Linked DNA regions of Nothobranchius furzeri. The protein of the gene in region 1 purifies or fractionates together with the protein of each later gene. This does not show direct contact. Links are inferred from orthologs where the notes say so. Each region holds a gene or a part of one and is shown on either strand. Other genes may lie near its edges. The genes, in order: ppp4r1l and ppp2cab.

Evidence for each region.
Region 2: the proteins of ppp4r1l (region 1) and ppp2cab purify together in Homo sapiens (affinity purification with mass spectrometry; 3 studies listed by BioGRID and IntAct, with this or other methods). This does not show direct contact. The link is inferred for Nothobranchius furzeri from reciprocal best matches to the Homo sapiens genes PPP4R1 and PPP2CA.

What each region holds. Positions count from the first base shown.
Region 1 is NC_091743.1:58,789,862-58,792,894, forward strand, and holds part of ppp4r1l (serine/threonine-protein phosphatase 4 regulatory subunit 1), read left to right. Parts: coding exon 1-294; intron 295-780; coding exon 781-867; intron 868-946; coding exon 947-1,132; intron 1,133-1,312; coding exon 1,313-1,474; intron 1,475-2,016; coding exon 2,017-2,117; intron 2,118-2,226; coding exon 2,227-2,347; intron 2,348-2,520; coding exon 2,521-2,655; intron 2,656-2,797; coding exon 2,798-2,939; intron 2,940-3,033. UniProt on the Homo sapiens protein: Regulatory subunit of serine/threonine-protein phosphatase 4. May play a role in regulation of cell division in renal glomeruli. The PPP4C-PPP4R1 PP4 complex may play a role in dephosphorylation and regulation of HDAC3.
Region 2 is NC_091750.1:60,013,335-60,016,834, reverse strand, and holds the end of ppp2cab (serine/threonine-protein phosphatase 2A catalytic subunit alpha isoform), read left to right. Parts: intron 1-1,354; coding exon 1,355-1,564; intron 1,565-1,646; coding exon 1,647-1,820; intron 1,821-1,908; coding exon 1,909-1,998; intron 1,999-2,083; coding exon 2,084-2,245; intron 2,246-2,334; coding exon 2,335-2,453; intron 2,454-2,537; coding exon 2,538-2,610; 3' UTR 2,611-2,837; downstream 2,838-3,500. UniProt on the Homo sapiens protein: Catalytic subunit of protein phosphatase 2A (PP2A), a serine/threonine phosphatase involved in the regulation of a wide variety of enzymes, signal transduction pathways, and cellular events.

The DNA.
Region 1 (3,033 bases):
CTGAAGGCGGCCCAGCTCGACAGCCCGTCTGACGGCAGCCCGACAGAAACCAGCCCTACCGAGGAGCCGCCTGAAGACAGCCCTGAGGGCCTATCAGGGGACGGCATTTCTATTGATCTACAGCCGGAGATGGAGGACGCTAGCACAGACCAAGAAGAAACAATGGAAATTTCTCCAGCTGCAGAAACGTGTCCGGTCCAGGAGCAAGAAAATGAAGAGACTCAAACTGAACCTCTGGAGAAGCAGGAGGAGTCTCCACCCAACTCTCCTGTTCTGGGGCCTCAGATACTACGGGTACATATCCATAAAAACATGGCCATGAAATGATCGTGGAGACGTGCGCAGCCTCACTAACTATGGCAGGAGCACATGCACATCTACGGTTATCACTCTTAGGGAAACTGGTAAAGGTGTAGAAACTATTATACACCACAGACGCATCCATTTGTGCACAGTTGCATAATATATTTAATCAAATGCAATATAAAGCAGAGAACAACTTCAACAACAGCAGAGGATGTTCTGGCCCCAAACCATGATTGTCAGCTGTTTTAGGTTTCCAAGGGCGACCCTGTTTTAACGGCTCAGAGCTGCATCGCAGTGTTTATTATTTTTTCTGTTGATTAGATTTTTCATGCAATAGTTTGGAGTCTGTGGCAGCTTTGTTAAACCGTTTGTTAAAACTATTTTAGTTGTTTTCATGGATGATTTGAGATATTTGTGGTTTTCGCTTGTACTTTCCTGCTCTTTTACGTTTTTGTGGGTTCTCATTTTCCTCAGGAGTCTAGCTTAATTGAAAATGTGGAGGAGGAGGAAAAGGACGCCTGTCTTCACAGCCCAACGTCAGAGGATAAGCCCAAAATCCAGGTCGGTCATGATAAACGAATCCCACGATCATTATGGATTCCTCGTGTTTAATCATCTAACTTGGACTTCCTGTCTGCAGAATGTCATCCCTCAGCAGCTGTTGGATCAGTACCTCTCTATGACGGACCCCGCCCGGGCCCAGACGGTGGACACGGAGATAGCCAAACACTGTGCCTTCAGCCTTCCGGGTGTGGCGCTCACTCTGGGCCGACAGAATTGGCACTGCCTAAAGGACACATATGAAACCCTCGCCACGGACGTGCAGGTAGGTATCAGGAAATCACAAGTGTAATGATGTCTGGTGTTTGGGCCTTTGTAGCTTTGAAGCTCATCAGAAAACAGGATCTGTAGTGGTTCATGCTTAAGGTCACCACAGACACTCCACTTTGTGTTGGATTATTAGCACTGGCTTTATGGTTTTAATTCCCCACATTTTCCCTCTCAGTGGAAGGTGCGGCGAACGTTGGCTTTCTCCATCCATGAGCTGGCGGTTATCCTGGGGGACCAGCTGACTGCAGCTGATCTGGTTCCCATCTTCAACGGCTTCCTCAAAGACCTAGATGAGGTTCGCATCGGCGTGCTCAAGCACCTGTACGACTTCCTGAAGGTAAGATCTCCACTGCGCCATAACGAGAGCAAACCTGCCAACCTGTACGCATTTTGCGTCGCCAGTATGCAATTTGGCATCTATTTACGCTGGTACGACTCACCCATTTAAACTTCGCACAAAGCTGCGGATACGTGAGTTGAGTTCTGTGGCAAATATGTACGTGTGGTACTCGTGTCTGACAACACGACTCAGTGGCGTGGTGAAGAAGTTTAAGCCAATCATCGTAGAAAAGCAGAGTAAGCCTATCCTGCCTAACCAGTAGCCTAAAACCCCCCTCCTCCCTGCCTCGTTCCTCCTCTCTCCCACTGGTTCGCCACTCGCTGCTGTTCTGGTAAGGTAAAGTGTGTGTGTGCGTGTGTGTGTGTGTGTGAAATTTTCCATCCAGTGAATGGGGAGATTACAGCGTGAAAAGCAATGGAGTTGTAAAAGTCTGCGAAAAACGCCGCACAGGTGGTACTCAAAAAATGTTTGACAAGGTTGGCAGGTCTGCGAGAGAGGAGGTTGTTTGCTGTTGATAACGGAGCAGGTTTGTGTCGCAGCTGCTGCACGCAGACAAAAGGAGAGAGTATCTGTACCAGCTGCAGGAGTTCATGGTGACGGACAACAGTCGAAACTGGAGATTCAGATATGAGCTGGCAGAGTAAGTGTCTCTGAGGGAGAGAGGATCTTCACTAGGAGTGGACAGATATATCAGTCGGCCGGTATGTCCCCGTGCATTCACCGTGTGCCTCACTGGCTTTGTCCTCTAGGCAGCTGATCTTGATCATTGAGCTGTACAGCCACTACGATGTGTATGACTACCTCAGACAGATCGCCCTCACCCTCTGCTCTGACAAGGTCTCAGAGGTCAGGTGGATCTCCTACAAACTGGTACGTTTTACTGCCGGCTGCGCAAACTGACCTGTGGAGGAAAAATGCAAGCAGCTTGTGAACTTTTGCCCAACAGAATTAGGTTCTAAATACTGGTGTTTGTTTTTAATGAAACCGTGTAAATGAACACTGTGTAGATGGAGCGAGTGTGTCATCACTTCCTCTGCTCTCAGGTGGTGGAGATCCTCCAGAAACTTTATGCATGTGGTGCTGACGACCTTGGCCTGAATTTCATCAACGAGCTCACCGTCAGGTTTTGCCACTGTCCCAAGTGGGTGGGGAGGCAGGCCTTTGCTTTCATCTGCCAGGTCTGTGGATCTAATGGGAGAAGTGGGGAAGCACCATTTTCTCTGACTGATCTGACAAATGTTCTCCTGTGGTTACAATAGTTGACCCCCCCCCCCCTCCACTAGTTGTCTGAGTTTGATAGTTTTGTGGTTCTCCCTGCAGGCCGTGGTTGAGGAGGACTGCATGCCCATGGAGCAGTTCAGCCAGCATCTGTTGCCCAGCCTCCTCAGCCTCTCCTCTGATCCGGTGGCTAACGTCCGAGTTTTGGTGGCCAAGGCTTTACGACAGAGCGTCATGGAGAAAGGTGATCTATAAATAGACCCGGTGTGGGACATGCAGCTTGTAAAACATCCTCAGCTCAGAATTGCACAAGCAAAAGAGGATAATGTTTGTTACGA
Region 2 (3,500 bases), on another chromosome or scaffold:
CCAGCAGCTTCAGCTGCACCCAGGGGTCCAGTTCGACAGGGATTTCTTAGTTTAGCAGCGATTATAAAATTTACACAGAAACGAGCTTCGAAAACATCCCCAAAGTCCTTATTTTTTGAGTACATGTATCGTTTCTGCTCTTTTTGAACATCACCTGATTTCTCCGTAAGCTGAAACGACCCGAGGGTTTCCAGCAGGTGTTGATGGACGAGTTTGGCTCAGAACCTGATACGTTGGACTTAATTAAAGCTCGTCTTCATGACTACGGCAGCGTCAAAGATCCCTTTCTAATGTTCCATTTCGTGCTGACGGCATCATGAGCCATGACACCGACGTGAACTCGTAGACGTAGATATGTCTACGGTTTGACTAGGATGAGGAACCCAGACAGATCCACTTTATCTCCTGTCGCCTCATCCATTCAAAGATGGGTCCTGTGTGTTTGTGTTCCACTTTCATCCAGACACCTAGAATATTCTTCTCTGGCTTAGTGCCTCTGTTTGCTTTAGAGATTTGTGGCTCAGTGTGGCCCCCGAAGCCTCCTGCCGCACGCCGGTCGGGACACGTGGAGTTTGGATGCAATGTAGGTCAACGTTGTGCAACGCTGCAGCGCCATCCTGGCCCGTCTGGGTTTCTATCCCATCAGCTGGCCACCAGCCAAGGAACACACTCGTTCTCTGGTTTGTGAAGGGATCCACGGTCACACAGCTCACAAAAATACTCAGCAAACGGCCAAATTCCGGGTGATTTACCATGAAGGTAAAACAATCGGAAACATAAAAGCAGTCACAGCTGGAGGTTACCAATCAAGCCAACTGGTGGTAAATCCTGTCTTATTTTAATGGTGACTTCCTCTGGCTCTGGCTGTAGGCCACATGCTGAGTCATGCTCTGCAGCAGCCAGTCAGGCCCCTCTGATGATTTATGGGTAAAAATAAAATGCTTTAATAATCCAGAATCACATTTATTTTTCTGAATTTAACACGTTAATCTAATTTGTCTGATCCGATGTGAATTAACATCAAAGTGAACCAAAACTTTTATGCAAATCCACTAAAATTTATTCTGCACTTGCCTTTTAATCTTCGGAGGATCACATTTATGGATTTTTAGAAACGTTGCCGTGCAGCCAGAGCTGCCCGTCCGGGCACCACAGGGTCGCCCCACAGGAAGCTAGTCGCTGCATCAAAATGCTATCAGCCCCGCTCCGTGTGCAGCATCCTGATGAGACGTGATGGAGGCCGTTGTAAGCGCTAGCAGGAAGTGGGCTGTGCCTGAATGAAGACAAAAAGAAAATGGTGGCCTTTGCCTGGCTTGTGCAAGTTTTAATTCTCTAATCAACTTTCCTTCTGCAGGCAAAGGAGATCCTGACCAAAGAGTCCAACGTCCAGGAGGTGAGATGTCCAGTGACCGTGTGTGGCGACGTGCACGGCCAGTTCCACGACCTCATGGAGCTGTTCAAGATCGGTGGGAAATCGCCGGACACAAACTACCTGTTCATGGGGGACTATGTGGACCGAGGGTACTACTCTGTAGAAACCGTCACATTACTTGTAGCTCTTAAGGTGACTTTGTCAGACATTTAAAACAGTTTTTTTTTCCTCTTTGGGGTGAAAAACGCGACGTAAACAGATGTTTGTGTTTCAGGTTCGCTTCCGGGAGCGCATCACGATCCTCAGAGGGAACCACGAGAGCAGACAGATCACACAAGTCTACGGCTTCTACGACGAGTGCTTAAGGAAATACGGAAACGCAAACGTTTGGAAATACTTCACAGACTTGTTCGATTACCTCCCCCTCACTGCGCTGGTAGACTCTCAGGTGAGAGGAGCGTAATAAAAAAGACCGAACTTGACGTTTCTTTGAAAAGCATCATAATTTGTTATAATTATCGATTTTTTTTCCTCAGATTTTCTGCCTCCACGGGGGCTTATCACCGTCTATAGACACGCTGGATCACATCAGAGCTCTGGATCGTTTACAGGAAGTGCCGCACGAGGTAAAGAAAGACGTTAAATGTGGTGCAGATCAGCAACGAAACAATAAAGATAAAAACGTTTGTGACCATTCTCGTTGTCACGCAGGGTCCCATGTGCGACCTGCTGTGGTCAGACCCCGACGACCGCGGCGGCTGGGGCATCTCTCCCCGAGGAGCTGGCTACACATTTGGTCAGGACATCTCTGAAACGTTCAACCACGCCAACCGCCTCACGCTGGTGTCCCGCGCCCATCAGCTGGTCATGGAGGTTTGTCTTTGTGTCCAAAGATGATTAAAAACAAAGAAGCAGTGCCGCTAAGTTCAGATGCGTGTTAATATTACATCTGCTTACCTCAGGGCTACAACTGGTGCCATGAGAGGAACGTGGTGACCATTTTTAGTGCTCCTAACTACTGCTATCGCTGTGGAAACCAGGCAGCCATCATGGAGCTAGACGACACCCTCAAATACTCTTTGTAAGCAGGCGAATTTCATCACGAGTGGACAAAGAAATCTTAGAATAAGTTGTGATTTTTTTTCTTCCTGATGTTCCTCCTCAGCTTGCAGTTTGATCCAGCGCCTCGCAGAGGAGAGCCCCATGTAACTCGCCGCACCCCAGACTACTTCTTGTAAACCTGCAGTCTCGACCCGCGCACGGTCCGGTCCGGTCCTGTCCAGAACCACCAACCTATCTGACTTTGAACTGAAAACAACGTGATGGAGGCCTGAGAGGCTGCAGTGTTGCACGTTGTGTTTATCCAATCTAGTTAAAGCATTTCGCAAAAGCAAATGTGTCTATAAACGGACCAAAAGGTGTGTGCCATGATCACTTAAATATTTATTGTATCTGAAATGACAAAATAGAACATCCTGGATGTCTCGGCTCCTCCTCCTGTACATATGGAGCTGGGTTGACGGCACCAAAGTCCAAGACTAATTTGCTACTGCAGACCATGGTTTTTGAGATTTGAATGTGATTTGTTTGCACTTTTGTACAGTTAAAGAAATGTTAAATATGTCAAAAAGATTAATACGATTTCACGATATTGATAGTTTTTTTGTTGTTTATTTTTAAATTGCATGTAAACCTTCAGTTTTTTTTGACCTGTGTATGTTTTAGGAAAATCCCTTCTCATGCAGTCAGATGGCTTGGTTTATAGAAAAGATGGAGTGTTCATCAACTCACCTGCTTCCTTTTAGCTTCAGACTCTATAATAACCTACTAGAATAATAAAGATGACTTCTTGAATTGTGTTTTTGGTTATTCTTCATTCTTGTAAAAAGTCTAGTTATATTTGGATTTCTCTGGCCAGTTGTAATTACACTGACACAGCAAGGCGAAGACATAAAAAATACATTTATTTAAATGTGAATTTAAATTATTGTGCTCCATAATATTAGATTGTATTGAGAACAGAAGTATCAATTGCCCAAAACAAGCAAACTTAATGTTGAGAATTGTGTTATTTCAAATAAAAGGCGCATAAATGCAATTTTATTAAGTTTTTCCAGAGCAATCTAAG